2 linked regions of the Arabidopsis thaliana genome follow. The protein of the gene in region 2 interacts with the protein of the main gene of each other region in a pairwise test. Each region holds a gene or a part of one and is shown on either strand. Other genes may lie near its edges.

The links. Proteins that work in one complex are often made in the same cells at the same time.
Region 1: the proteins of G6PD1 (region 2) and ATHM2 interact in a two-hybrid assay, tested with the Arabidopsis thaliana proteins (one study listed by BioGRID).

The regions. Positions count from the first base shown.
Region 1 is NC_003075.7:1,561,703-1,568,132, reverse strand, and holds ATHM2 (Thioredoxin superfamily protein), read left to right. Parts: upstream 1-3,928; 5' UTR 3,929-4,077; coding exon 4,078-4,321; intron 4,322-4,737; exon of another isoform or gene 4,738-4,896; intron 4,897-5,231; coding exon 5,232-5,548; 3' UTR 5,549-5,930; downstream 5,931-6,430. UniProt on the Arabidopsis thaliana protein: Thiol-disulfide oxidoreductase that may participate in various redox reactions. May activate NADP-malate dehydrogenase.
Region 2 is NC_003076.8:13,954,463-13,964,192, reverse strand, and holds G6PD1 (glucose-6-phosphate dehydrogenase 1), read left to right. Parts: upstream 1-4,362; 5' UTR 4,363-4,506; coding exon 4,507-4,729; intron 4,730-5,315; coding exon 5,316-5,553; intron 5,554-5,635; coding exon 5,636-5,750; intron 5,751-5,831; coding exon 5,832-6,037; intron 6,038-6,122; coding exon 6,123-6,272; intron 6,273-6,364; coding exon 6,365-6,485; intron 6,486-6,563; coding exon 6,564-6,994; intron 6,995-7,067; coding exon 7,068-7,314; 3' UTR 7,315-7,521; downstream 7,522-9,730. UniProt on the Arabidopsis thaliana protein: Catalyzes the rate-limiting step of the oxidative pentose-phosphate pathway, which represents a route for the dissimilation of carbohydrates besides glycolysis.

The sequences.
Region 1 (6,430 bases), on a different chromosome or scaffold from region 2:
TTTTTGTTAATTTAGAATCATAAACCTACGAAAGAATCCAAAATAATCTCTGAGGAAGGTGCATCTCATAGATAAAATCCTTTCTTCAGATATTGAAATGAACCGTAAACATGGACCCATATCTATGTAGATATAAGATATCCAAGAAAATATATTTAAGTTTCGCAGAGCAGGTGAATCGAACTTAGAACGTGTTAACATCCCAAGCCCGTTTCCTTTTGCATTGTTTTAACATTATTGTTTTCTTTAAACCAACTACCAAGATTTAGTTATCACTTATCAAGTATGAAGATCAAAAACCAGCGACGACCAATAGCTTATTAACATACCTTGTGGCGGATATATCGTATGAACAAACCTTGTAGAAAAATTGTTAACTGAAATCTAAAGCAAAAAAATTCTATAATATTTGGAGATTCAAGACTACATTGTTACTGATACAAATGACTAAAAAAATATTTAGTTTACAATTAACAATTATAAAAATATTTAACAAACTTAAGTGATAAGTGATAACACATTGATACTAATACAAATGACTAAAATTTTATTCGTTTGGTAGTAATTAGTACTTGTGCTGATCAATCATTATAACAAATTTACCATTAGTTTCTAGTCAAGAAACTTAGAATCGTATAAGCAGACTGAGTCCATGAACATTATAGAACCCACATCATTCAACTTCAAAACCAACATTTGTTGGGAAAAAGACGATGAGATTGTTGACGATATTAGTAAAACAATCTCATTCTCATTAATTAGCAAAAGAGTACAATTGGGGGTTTATATACAAACTGACATTGGCCTAAACCATAAGCCTCTAAACCAAAATTAAGATTGGTTTATAGAATACCAACCTGTACAGACTCTATATGAAATCTATACTAACCAAACTAAGCTTATATACAACAATCTAAGCTATATACATTAATAGTCCCCCTCAAGATGGGACGAAGATGTTGAGTAGACCCATCTTGCTTATTAGACGTTGGAAGTGCGATGGATACAAAAGCTTGGTGAACGGATCTACAATTTGCAATTCAGTATTTGCAATTTGCTTAGACTTGAAAGAAGTTGGATAACCATGTTTCTTGTAACAAGTGTCTTCAACATGACCAGGGCGACTACAGTAAGTACAAACTGGCCTCTCCTTTTTCTGATAGGTGTCTCCATTAAGAACAGATTGTGAAGACTGATTGGAGACTGCAAACACTGATGAAGTCATTCCTGGAGTAGTAGAAATCCTTGCAGAACGTTGAATTTCATCCTGATCAATCATGTTGAATACCTCAGACAAAGAAGGCAAAGTTTTCTTCATGAGAATCTGACTTCTAACAGCATCATAACAATCATTGAGTCCCATAAGAAAATCAATGACTCTATTAGTCTCTCTTTCAATCAGAAGATCTTCTACAGTCCGTGGAATAGCCTGAAGACTCGTCAATTCTTCCCAAAGAGTTTGTTTACGAGTATGATACGATGACAAATCCAGATTGCCTTGACGAAGAGAGTGAATCTGTTGACGCAGCTTGTAAAGTCGAGGGAGGCTAGATTTGTGAAATCGAGTATAGAGATCTTTCCAGATTGCAGCGGCTGTGGGAAAATACAAGATGCTTGTATAGATCTCCTTCGATACACTATTCAGAAGCCAAGACTTAACCATACTGTTACAACGACGCCAGATTTTGCAATAAGGATCATCATCATCAGGTTTTGGAATAGATCCATCCACAAATCCAAGCTTATTCTTAGCTTCAATGCTAGTAGTCATGGCTATAATCCAGGTACCATAGCTGTTTCCATCTAACAGTTCTGGAGCTAAGACTAAACCAGGATGATCGGAGCTAACAAGATGATAAGGACTGTGACTATTATCAGGAGAATCCGATACCTCAAAGTGACGCGATGAGCTGTATTGAGCTGGTTGATGAATCGCAGCATGAATCGAGGATCCTGGAGCTCTTGCTGATGAACCAGAAGACTGCTCATGAATCTTCGATGAAGCAATGACAAGTAGATCCGGTGAACTACTCCGACGAACACTCTTTCCATTTCGTTTACCCATGGAGAATCGAAACAGCTAACAAATGAGACTGGATCGCAAAGGAAACGAAGAGAAAACGTGTAGAAGTTCAAGAGAAGAAAAAAAATGAGAAGATGAACAAACTCCGGTGAGATTCCAGTGAAATCAAATCGGAAAAGTTTGTTACGAGACTGAGATCGAGATATTTTGCTCTGATACCATATTAGTAAAACAATCTCATTCTCATTAATTAGCAAAAGAGTACAATTGGGGGTTTATATACAAACTGATATTGGCCTAAACCATAAGCCTCTAAACCAAAATTAAGATTGGTTTATAGAATACCAACCTGTACAGACTCTATATGAAATCTATACTAACCAAACTAAGCTTATATACAACAATCTAAGCTATATACATTAATAGACGAAATTTTTAAACAAAACCCAGGATTCGAACATCAAATAACCCATCCCCAACGCAACAAATATTATCAACCAACTTTTCATTTCATCAATGACACTGTGAATCATATAAAAGAGATATGATGTCGGTGTTGAAGATAACTTCTTTATTGTAAGATTATTTTGATCGAATAAGCTGCCTCAAATCTTCTAATTTCGACAACTCTTTATCTGTGAGGACACTATGAACACGTTTGTAAAAATCCATCACTTGGTCTCTAGCTACCACCATTTTCTTTCTTCGCATAGGGCTGGGGAATAATGAGTTCTTACAGTGAAAACATAAGTGGTGACCGGACGCATTGAACCTAACATCGTAGAAAACATTGAGGAAATTTTTGTAACATAATAAAAAGAGACATGTGGAAAGAGAAAACAAAAATAAAACAAAATATTGAGAAGAAACCAAGAAAGGAGGAATTTCTTTAGTAGAGAGATCTACCGAGATTATAAAGAAATTGAGGAGTAGAAGAGATGTCAGCGAGCTAAAGTGACATCAGAGGAAAGACTTTGAAGTGGTTCCTCAATACTAGAGGTATATAAGAAAAAGAAAAAGAGGCAGATCCAAAATGTTGGTTTTGAAAGTTTTATAGATTTTTAAGATTTTGTTTTTGTTTTCATTTTTCAAGAGCTAATTGTCATACCATTACCAATCAAGTTTTAAAATGTTGGTTTTCCAAGAAAATACTTTTGCTATAATCTTTTTTTTTGTCATCAGATATTATTTAGGATTCAACGAACCAATTTTGAAGAAAATTGTTAACAAAAGCGAATTTTTCATGCCAAATAGTTTTTTATTCAAAATTTTAGACTTTTAGTTATCTTATAAGCAAGCGTTATAATTTATTTATTTTTTTAAAGAAAATTTTGAGAAAAACAATTGCGAAAAAATGTCAGGAGATCTTCAAATGTTCAAAAATACAAAAAAAAAAAAAAAAAAAAAAAAATTAGTGTGGGGTAAAATAATACGTTTAAATTTTATTGACTTTTCATTTCAATAGTCAACTTTTAGTGACTTCTTATTTCAGTCGCTAACTTTTTGTTGATGTTGCCAAAATAGTCATTAAATTGACCCGAGATCACAAATTGCGGGTAACGGAACTTTGTTAAAATTTCTGTTAAATCCACAAGTGACTGGATTAAAAAAAAAAAGTGCAACTGGCCTAATATGAGCCCAATAAAAAATATCTCAAAAGTTTTATGGGCTTATTACAGATGGGCTTAGTCAGAGCACTATCTTACCCAAACAATTAAAAAAACAATTTACAATATGTTTTCGTTTTCTACTTTTTTCGGTTATTTTGGGCAAATGATATCTACAGCTCAACAAATCAAAAAAATTCAAAAATATTTCAATTTATTATTTCTCGATTTTTTTCACAACTGTATTTTAATTGTATTTTTAGTAGAAATACTTATTTTTCCAAAAATATTTGTTTGTGTTGATGTATATATAAAAAATCTGCATCAGTGTTTTGTCTACATTTTCTCTTCCATTAGTTTCGTTATCTTTTTATTTTCTCTATCTATCTGGATATTATTTTTTCACTTGGGGATTTGGAGAAACCTCTCCTCTCTCTATCTATAGCCATGGCTGCTTTCACTTGTACCTCTCGTCCTCCGATTTCTCTCCGCTCCGAGACCAGAATCGTATCCTCATCACCATCGGCTTCTTCTCTCTCTTCTCGGCGGATGTTCGCCGTCTTACCGGAATCATCAGGTTTGAGAATCCGTCTTTCTCTCTCTCCGGCTTCGTTGACCTCGATTCATCAACCTAGGGTTTCTCGATTACGAAGAGCCGTCGTCTGTGAAGCTCAGGAAACTACTACCGATAGTATGTTTTCTCACTATTCCTTTTTCGATTTTGGTTATTAACTTGTCTTTGATTCGTGCTCGTTGGTGGATTTTGAGAACTGATTATTGATTTGTGCGAGGGAAATTAGAAGCAAGGTGCTTGAATTTGTGTTGTTGTTCTTGTTGTAGCATTTAGTAATCTGCTAAAAACTTGAGATTAGTTACAGATTAGTGAATCTGGAGGAGGAAGAAGAGTTTCTTTAGGAGAGTATACCTTTTGAGAAAATTCTTGCTGAAAATGAGGTTTCTGTTAGAGGAACGATTCATGCCATTTGCGTGAAATTTGAAGAAGGTTGCTTTTTAGGATCACTTCTTTTTTGGGGATATTTTACTTGATTAATGCAAAGTCTCTCTAACAAACCTAGAAATTAGGTTGGGTACCTACTCAGATATTTTATTGGTTGGATCATACACATTGTGACAAGAAACAGTTATTTGGCTCATGAGAGAAGAATGTTGCTTTTTGTGCTTTAGAGTAAACATATCTTGATTCTCTATACCAGCAGATAACGATTTTGGTTATCACTAGCATTGATATTCTACGATTTTAGATAGGTAAGTCCTTTTCCGTGATAATGTGTTTGGTGAGATTAGCAGTATTATCTGCTACAATGTTAACTCAGTCATTGGTCTCTCCTCTCTGGTGAAAACATAAAGCTTTATCCTTCACTGGATCTATCAAATTTCTATTTTGAAAAACTTTCACTTCTAGATCATTTTTAGGAAATATCATATAGACTTGCTACAACATACTGATCTAGCTGAAGATGGATAAACGGGTCAGCTGTCTCTTTGTTTTATTCGTCCACCTTGGCTGATATATTTTGTTTTCATTCATGATTCTAAAAGCTTTGGCAATAAGGTGTTGATTTGTGTTATTGATCCTGCAGTTCAAGTGGTCAATGACTCGACATGGGACTCTCTAGTTCTTAAAGCAACTGGGCCTGTAGTTGTCGACTTTTGGGCACCATGGTGTGGACCTTGCAAGATGATTGATCCGCTTGTAAACGATCTAGCACAGCATTACACTGGGAAGATCAAGTTCTACAAATTAAACACTGATGAATCTCCTAATACTCCCGGCCAGTACGGAGTTAGAAGCATCCCAACGATCATGATCTTTGTCGGTGGCGAGAAGAAGGATACAATCATAGGTGCAGTGCCCAAAACCACACTCACATCTAGCCTCGACAAGTTCTTGCCATGAAATATCACTTGTGGAGTCTGTAAGATCTCGTATCTCTCTGTCTCTCGTTCTTGTTCTCATTATCTCTGTAACTCATTATCACTGAACATCTAGACCTGGATAAATAATATGATGTCATGTCTTATGTCATTTTTACTGGTTTGAAGATGTTTTGAGATGCGGAACTAAAGGTATCAAAGAACAATCTTGGACTAGACTAATGGAACCACATTAAAATGATTCCACCAATCTTTTTTTGGTCATGAGAGAGATCTTAAGATTGTTTGGTTCTGCAAGTTTTTTGATGAACACACGCTAAGGTTTGTTACTTATTCTAAAACTCCTCGTATTAAAAGATATTATGCGACACTCTAATGAATGAGCACATGTATGCAAAAGGGGCTAAAGGTTCATACATGTCCTAATCTAAAGAAAGAATATACGTATTCAGCTGAAAAAGGTCTTTATCGACCACGAGCAAAAGAGAATAAATACGTTCGAAATATCTCCTTATTTTTGCATAAGCAAAGAAATTCATCCACCATAGTTTATGTGTACCCAATTTGTGGATAAGGATATGTCAATTAGGACAAAATGAATAATAGCCGAAAGAATTGAGTTATTTTTGGACTGATCCCACAGTTCCCGACAAGCTTTTGAGGTTTTAGAGTTGTTGATCCGGTCTATGACTAAAGTTCGACCAAAACCAAGTTATTTAGTTTGGACAATATAAATCAGAAATATCAAGAAGATAAATTATATGATTAGTTCATAAAGTTTTAGTTTTAGATTGCCAAGAAAATATTCTAATATATTAGGTCTGAACGAAAGTGTTAAATCTGATGAAACCTCTCTATTGGTAATGTCTTTTTTTTTTTTTTTTGGTTGCCGTCCTTGGTTTGA
Region 2 (9,730 bases):
AGCAATATGAATTTTTCATTTTAAGTTGGTGATAATATTAAAAGTGAGCTTAAAAGTATAAGGGAAATGTTGTATTGAGTCTACTAAAGATAAGTTAAAACGATTTAATATTAAAATTTCTAATTTAATTAAGTATAAATGATTAATAATACATTTTTATCTGTTAATAACTCACTGTATTCATTTTCATTGACTTTTGAGGTAAACAAATTCGAACTCCATAACACCAACTTAGTATTACCAGTAGTACTAATATGACCACAAATTCGACAGAAACAGACATGATATTACTTGTTATAACCAGTATTACAAAAAAACAATAGAAACAGACATAGTACTATAGAAGGGGAAATACAGTATTACATAGTAAGTCCATACCATAAAAACAACAAATCACTGCAAAAACAAAGTAAAAAACTCAGATAGGCGTATTCCCAAATAATAACCATTGACACGATTGCCTTGGACGCCTTTTGTTTTGCGTCCTTTGTCGTTTTGGCCGCTTTTCCCCGGTTGATGGAAACCTTAGCATTTTTTTGCTTCCTTTCTTCGGTTTTTTAGACAGCGGAACTATCTTCAACGCCTTTACTTCATCTGGTACTTCCCACTGCGACCTATCCGGAACAAGATAAATAGTCCTATAATAGGCCAATGCCCACAACTCCGCCCAATAATATTTTGTAACCAAATCATGTTACTCCAAACCTCTTCTCCGATCTTCATCATCCATAATGTTAATGAAAGCGGCTAATGCATGAATACAAGGATATTTTTGGATATCGAAAACCTTGCAACTGCAAGTTTTCAAAAGCAAGCTCACCGTATAATCTATTCCTTTGTCGCATGTGACTACATATTCACGCTCGAATGAGTTTAGTTCCACCACTTTTAGCTTCTCGGCAAAAACCCACAAATCATGCAAATAATTCTCGACCAAAGGCACCATCTTATTTTCTAAGGATCCAGACGCGGCTTCCATCCGATGTTCATTAAACCAAACGGAGATTTTTTTGATGATCGCATCAAGCATTGGTATTAACGAGTATTTCCTTGCGTTTTTAAACACATTGTTCAAAGATTCCACACAATTGCTTGTGTCTAAGTTGTATCTTTCTCCGGGAAAACAACACCTTGCCCATTTTTCTTTCACGGTTGTATCCTCCAAATACTTGGTCGCCTTAGGATATCTCAACTTAAACCCGTCATACGCTCGGTTGAAGTCTGCCACGACGTAGACCCGACTTAACTCCTGAAACTTCCATGCGAGTACATCTCGGTTGGTGTGAGTAGCATGACCTTTCACATTTTGGGACAAATGCCAAATACAATACCCGTGATGAGCCGCGGTATACACGTTCCGTATGGCCTTTATGAGGCTTGCATTTCTGTCCGTCATGAAAACCAATTCTGAAGTATCGGGTACAACCGTTTTTAGCTTCTCGAAAAACCACTCCCAACTAGCATCATTCTCACCGTCGAGTACGGCAAACGCTATGATGTAATGGTGACGGTTAGGATCTTGAGCCGAGGCAAACACTAGCACTCCGCCATATCCGTTCTTCAAATGTGTTGCATCCACAATTAAAACTTTCCTCATCACTCTAAAACCTTCAATGCTAGCTCCCAAAGCTACGAATATGTACTGAAATTTATCATTCTCATCCAATTTCAGATAAGTAACTGTACCATCATTTACCTTCTTCAACATGTATAAATAACAATTGATATCCTTGTAGCTTTTTTCCGGGCTACCTTTTAAATCATAAATCGCATGATATTTCCCCCTTAGCGCTGTCGAGTATGATACTTTCACACCTAATTTCGTCTGAACTAGCTCCATGATAATTCTTGGAACCGGAGTTTCCAACTGTCCCGAAAAATGATCATGAAGGAGAGCTGCGACTAATTGTGGGTTGCCTTTTTTTTTCCTGAGCCTACTACTACCTTTACTTAGCCGAGTGCAACTATGCATCTTATTATACCTTCTAATCGAGAATATATCAATATTACTGATATTGGACGCTCGTAAACGCCAAGAACAGCTCTCTTTGGCACACTTTAGGACATAGCGCTCCTTATCCGACTTCTTAATCACATAACCAAAAATGGTAGCAAATACAGCTCTATCCACCACCTCGTGCAATGCCGCCTTGTTTGGAAATTCTTGACGTAAGGTCAACCCAATTCCGTCTTCCCATTCTTTCTTAAACATACCCGGTTCTACAACAGGTGGCGACTCAACATACTGTTCCCCCCTATCAGAATCATCCATAGACTCATCATAGCGTGTTTCATCTTCTTGAGTCTCGTGATCCTCCACTATTGCCTCAAGTTGATGTTGAGTTCCGTGATCCTCCACTATTGCCTCAAGTTGATGTTGAGTCCCGTGATCCTCCACTATTGCCTCAAGTTGATGTTGAGTTCCTTGTTCCTCTTCTAATAAGACGATGAGTGCACCATCATCCACTCTCATTTCATCCTCCTCTGTATAGTTCTTACCAACAGAACTTTTACCAACTCTAGACAATTGCTCGGGCAATTGCTCCGGCTCGGGCGGTTTAGAGATCTCCTCCACAACCAAAACACTTCTTCAGTTATTTTTTGCGGATGTTACATAAACAAAGACATCCTCATCATCACAAACGTTCATTTCTTCCTCTACTCCGAACAACCGTGGATTGTACCTCATATGCAATTTTACCTTATTTGCATCTAATCCAAGCTTCGTCATTATCCTATCTTCTAACATTGAGAGAGTAATCTTCTCCCCTAATGTCTTCATCATCACATTATACATGCGACCTTGGAATTTAAAATATATGATCACGTTCTCTTTCATTGTAACCTGCCAAAACAATACACATACTCAGTCAATATTACTAGTATTATCGATTCTAGTACATTTTCAGTAATACTATTACTAATTCTGAAATATTACATGTGTGAGTAATACTATTACATATATGAAATACTACGTGTCTAAGTAATATTGGTGCTATTAAAACATACTATCTATATAAATTACGGTACTACTATAGTTAGTGCGACCAGTATTATTTTCGCGACAAGAACAAATATTCGATTTGAGTTCAATTTAGTATGAATCAGCATGTGAAATCAATTGCTTACCCATTAACAGACCAAATGAAGCCTAAATCTATACTTAAACTTCTAATGTAGGTGCTAAAACACAATAATCCAAATCTAATTTGATTGAATTTCAAAATCCTCAAAATATGTAATTCAAAGCTTTTGAAGCTCTCTCCATACCTGGACTTAGTAGATTGATGCAGCTTGCAGGAGGAGAAAAACGACAATGCGGCTCGCCGGAGGAAGAAGCCCGAAGAAGAACGAGCTCGAGCTTTTTTTTTTTTTCCGTTTTTTTTTTTTTCAAAATGTTTTCTAGAAATATTAATTATTCATTCAAAATAAAATACAGGGGTAAATTCGTCTTAACACAATTCATTAACTCAAAGGAGATAGGAAGACTCTAAAGTGGTTTTGCAGATTAGTTGTCCCACAAAAGGGACACAAGAGATGATCATTCTAAATAATGACTAGGATTCAACCTGTGTTTTATTATTTTGGGTGATTGTTGTATATTTAGTAGGAGAATATATTTTAATGTCGTCAAGCATGTGTACTATTTAATAAGTTTGTATGTAATTTTAAGATAGTTAAAGTAGTTAAATAAATGTGAAAAAGTTTAAGTATTCATAAGTTTTAGGCATTAAAATTTTTCTTATACTTTGTTTTTTTTAGATTAAAAATATTTTGAACTTTTTTGATATGATTTATAAAAATCAATAATACTCAAAAAGTAAATGACAGAAAGATTAATGATAAAATTTTAATTAAGTAAAATATTTTAAACAAAATGAATAGGTTTTTTAAATTTTTATTGTAAGTAATTCTACAAAATGTGGTTAAATTAGGTGAAAATAGAATCTTAGAAATAATATTTGTATAAATGATGCTCATTATTCATCATGCTAAATTGGAGTCTTTGTTAATCAGAGAAGTCAGCTTATGCAGTATATTTAGAAAAAGCCAAAAAGGCTAGAAAGAGATAACATAAAACAACTTTCCTTTGTTGTTGTTATAAGTAAAACATTTACGAAAAATCCCGGATATTCACCTAGTAAATTAATAAAGTGTGCATAAGAGAGTACTAAAATGAATAAAGTATGAAATTTACTGCTAAACCAAAATCACCTTTCCAGCGAATTGTGGTCGTTCGAATGGAATAATCCGGTTAAGCTATACCAGAGATGGATGTTAATACGGTTTACTTTCTTGAGAAAAAAAGAATTTATGCAAAGAAAAATAAAACTTTTTTGACAAATAAGATATGTGGATAATGTGAGAGATAAGAAATATCGAAAACTATATAATAAAACTACTGTTGTGGATAATGTAAGAGACGATACAAATAGCCTCATAAGGCAAAAAACAATGGCATCATCATCATCATCACATTTGTTTTGACGCTCCAAGAAAATTTGCATGGCGACACATTCTATGATCATTCCTTCTCCTTCTTCTTCTTCCTCGTCTCTCGCTACTGCTGCGTCTCCGTTTAAAGAGACTCTACCACTCTTTAGTAGATCTCTCACATTCCCGAGAAAATCCTTGTTTTCTCAGGTTCGCTTGAGATTCTTCGCCGAGAAACATTCTCAGCTTGATACTTCAAATGGGTGTGCCACTAATTTCGCTTCTTTACAAGATTGTGAGTTTCTTCTCCAGTTTCTATGTGACTAGATTAGTTTTTGATAGAATTCTTGATGAAGTTTCTTGTACCTGTCGTTGATTGTGTTGTTAGGATTGTAACAGTTTTATGTCTATTGAAGAAAGTTGTTCAAGATTGTATCTTTATGACCTTTTATACTCAAAGATACCATCTTTGATTGTAAAGTTTATGTCTTTGAGTATTCTAGGATTGAATGTAGAAGATTAGAGTGATTGTGAGTTGGTTAGATAGCAATGAGTAAGGGTTTGGTTTTGGAATTTGGTTAATAAAGTCTCTTTCTTTATGAACTGAAGTAGTTTTGTAGCCTCTGTCTGTGTTTTTGACGATTGAAGAAAGTAGTTCAAGATTGTATCTTTTGTACTCAAGGATACCATTTCTCATCTAAGGATTATGTCTTTGAGTATTCTAGGATTGAATGTAGTAGATTAGAGTGATTGTGAGGTAGTGAGGGTTTGGTTTAGCAATTTGGTTGATAAAGTCTCTCTTTTTATGAATTGAAGTAGTTTTGTAGCTTTTGTTTGTGTTTTTGATTCTTTGGAGGATGGTTTTTACCAAATTGTTTCAGCTGGAGATCAACTTACAGAGGAACATGTTACAAAAGGAGAGTCTACTCTTAGTATTACAGTTGTTGGAGCGTCAGGGGACTTAGCCAAGAAGAAGATATTTCCTGCATTGTTTGCTCTCTTTTATGAGGGTTGTCTTCCTCAGGACTTTTCTGTTTTTGGTTATGCTCGGACTAAACTCACTCATGAAGAGCTTCGTGACATGATTAGTAGTACTTTAACTTGCCGGATTGATCAGAGGTATATTCTGCTATACGTTTTTAGTGTATGTTTTAGTTAAAGTTTATGCTTTGGTTATATGAACAAAAGTTGGAATCAACAGGGAAAAATGTGGGGATAAGATGGAGCAGTTCTTGAAAAGATGCTTTTACCATTCGGGTCAGTATAACTCGGAAGAGGATTTTGCGGAACTAAACAAGAAGCTCAAAGAGAAAGAGGTAATTTTCTTTCACTCTCTCTATGCTTATTTCTTGTACCAATGGCACGAAGCACATTTCTAATTCCTTTCTGCTTTGTAGGCAGGAAAGATATCAAACAGGCTGTACTATTTGTCGATACCCCCAAACATATTCGTTGATGTGGTTAGGTGTGCAAGTCTTAGAGCCTCCTCAGAGAATGGCTGGACAAGGGTCATTGTGGAAAAGCCATTTGGTCGTGACTCTGAATCATCCGGAGAGTTAACTAGATGTCTGAAACAGTATCTTACAGAGGAGCAAATCTTCAGGTTAGCCATTTCCTTAGCCCAACAGCCATCACTGCCATTCATTTTTAAGCTGGAACTTAACTGCAATGTTATGTGACATACGTAGGATTGATCACTATTTGGGAAAGGAGCTTGTTGAGAACCTTTCAGTGCTCCGATTCTCAAATCTTGTTTTCGAGCCTCTGTGGTCAAGAAATTACATACGCAACGTTCAGCTGATTTTTTCTGAGGATTTCGGAACAGAAGGGCGTGGAGGGTAAGCTTTCATAAACAACTTACAAAGCATGAACACTGAACACCTTTGATCAGTATGACACTGAACACCTTACTAATGTTAAATCGATGCAGTTACTTTGATCAATATGGAATCATACGAGACATCATGCAAAACCATCTCTTGCAAATACTTGCACTTTTTGCAATGGAGACGCCAGTGAGCTTAGATGCTGAGGACATAAGAAGTGAAAAGGTAAGACTTTTTTCACTAAGAAGAAAAGCTTTAGGTTGGTTATAAAATACTATACCGATGATTATGTGTTCCTGTAAGGTGAAAGTTTTGAGATCAATGAAACCGTTGCGGCTTGAAGATGTGGTTGTTGGTCAATACAAAGGCCATAACAAGGGAGGAAAAACTTATCCAGGTTATACAGACGATCCAACGGTTCCAAATCACAGTCTCACTCCTACATTTGCTGCAGCAGCCATGTTCATCAACAATGCGAGATGGGACGGTGTTCCTTTTCTTATGAAAGCTGGAAAAGCTCTCCATACCAGAGGAGCAGAGATCAGAGTTCAGTTCAGACATGTCCCAGGAAACTTGTACAAGAAAAGTTTTGCTACTAATTTAGACAATGCAACAAATGAACTAGTGATTAGAGTTCAGCCTGATGAAGGGATATACCTGAGGATCAACAACAAAGTTCCTGGTCTTGGAATGAGACTAGATCGCAGCGACCTTAACCTTCTATATCGATCCAGGTACAACAATGCATACTACTGATTCTAGTTTTCCTATAGAGATTATTTATTTATATTCTTTTGGGGTTGATAGGTATCCAAGAGAGATACCAGATGCATATGAAAGACTGCTTCTCGATGCAATCGAAGGAGAGAGGAGGTTGTTTATCAGAAGTGATGAGCTAGATGCAGCATGGGATCTATTCACACCGGCTTTGAAGGAACTAGAGGAGAAGAAAATCATTCCTGAGCTCTATCCATATGGAAGCAGAGGTCCTGTTGGTGCACATTACCTTGCATCTAAGTACAATGTGAGATGGGGAGATCTTGGAGAAGCTTAAGCTTTCGACAGAAACAATATGATTTGGTGTTAATATGAGTAAACTAACTTGTCGATATTATCAATGCGTAGATAAATCCTTGTTACCAAAACTTGCTTTTTCTCTGACATTTTTTGATTGTTTTTGGTTCTAAATCGAGCATTTCGGAGGAATGTACCAAAACTCTTGCAGGAATAGACCATTTCCATCATTGCAACAGGTTTAGAGGAGAGATCTGAGATAACACAAAGGTATATTGAACAATGCAGTAACTTAAGTAGACAAAACAACAAACCATACTTATGACAAAATAGTTTATTTTCAAACAATGATAAAGAACTGAGACAACAGAGGAGACAGACAAGTTACTTAACACTTCCAACAAGTTACTACTATGCTAAAAAGGCAAAAACCTCAAGAATCACTTGAAACTATATAAATGAAACCTCAAGAGACAAATGAAAATATCAGAGAGCTACTATGTCTCAAGAGGAAAGCAGAGGACTCCACGGCACCTGAAAGTCCAAAGACTGATATTGTCGCCAGCCTTTAAGCCGTTACCTTTGACTACATCGTTCCAACCCCAATTCAAAATGTAATTCAATGTTCCGTGTCCAGAGTCCTTCTCCATCGCCCATATCTTGAAACGCAAACCCCACATTTTAGATCTTTGGTTCACAAGAATCGTTCCCACACCAATATTCTTGTCATCTTCGTTGTCTTCGTCTTTCTGTATGGCTCTACACTCCGCAGGCGTCAAGAAGTCGTTTCTGATTAGCTGCTGGAAAGGGATTAAGAGACGGCTCAGGCCTGATTTGACATCACTATTGAACAGAGTCCTCTCAAATATCAGCCTCGGGGTTTCAGCATCAGCGTTCATGTATCTCATCACCTGGAAAACCCACTCTGGCGTCTCTATAGACATCCTTGGCAAAGAAACAACCCTCGCTTTCTTGAGTTTACCACTCTTCCTCTGCTGCACGGCACGCCTCTTGCGGCTTTTGTTCTCCGTTAGGCATGAAGACGAAGATGAAGATTGGTAATTAGGGTTTGTTAGGTTTTTCTTCTCTGTCTTCCCCAACTTAGCCGTGTTGTAATCCAAGGGTAACGAAGGATCATAACAACGAAGGTTCAAGAACGATGAAGACGCAGAAGCCCCATTATACACCAACTAACGGCTCATCAAAACTAGGGTTTTGTTGGGTTTTCAAGTCGTAATCAGTGGTGATTAGGTTCAGATCGAGAACCGCTGAAGAAGTAGAAGCCCCGTTAGGGTTTTGCTGCGTGTATCTTCTCTTCACCAAAGACGATCTGATTTTTCTCGGGAAACGATAGAAGAAACTCTTGTCGCTATCTTCTTCTTTAGAGACAGTCTTTAGAAGACGACGAAATTGTTCTTCTTCCGCAACCATAACCGCAACTTCGGCCAGTAAACAAAGACTCGAACACATATCCTTCCCTGAATCCGTGAGATCGTACATAGTCATTGTAATGGAACCGAAAGACTCGAAAGCTCTGAGAATGAAGTCGTGAGGAACAAGGAAATTAGAAAGATGGAGAGCCGCTGATCGAATAATGCAGAAAAAAGTTGCCTTCTCTTTAAGGAAAGAGGGTAGGGCTTTTTGTTGTTTCCATTTTTCTTTTGAGTTTAGTGGTTTAATTACTGTGATTAGTAACTAATTATAGCCGTTGTGATCAAGTTAACGTTTCTATTTAAGATTTAGTCCCCATATCTTTCGATTATTACGAAATTGCACCACTTATTTCGTCATATGAATTCACCCCACATCTTTCGGTAGACAGAATCCATTGCCAATTCTTATGATTTATTATGTTGTTGTAAAGTATAATTTTTTAGAGTCGCTGACTGAATCTAAATGAATCATATTATCCTCTTATAATTATAATACACAGAATCCATTGCCAATTCTGATAATTTCTTAAGAATTGATTTATATTATCCTCTTATAATTATAATAGAATTTAATCTTAATTTTAAAAATTATTATTATAAATTTCACTAATTTTAAAAATTACTTATTTATTACCTTTTTACACACTATATAACGTTTTATAGTTTTTCATAAATCTTGTTAAATCCTCCTCTTCATTAGATATATTTGCCATCATTTATTTTTCTTTTTTCTTTTTTTCTACTGCCATTTATTTTTCATTTCTTAAATATCTTTTTAATACTTTTTAAAGCCCATCCTCCACAATGATATGAACTAGAAAATCTTTTATTATAAATAATTGACCAAAAAACTTATGTTTTTTTTGGTAAAAAATACTTAAGTTTGTACATACTTATTTGCATATTTGTTTTATGGCAACACTCATCTATATTTCGAGAAAAGAGGCATGTGTTTTTCTTCTTTAGATTTATATATATATATATATATATATATATATATATAAAATATATTTTTTGTAAAAG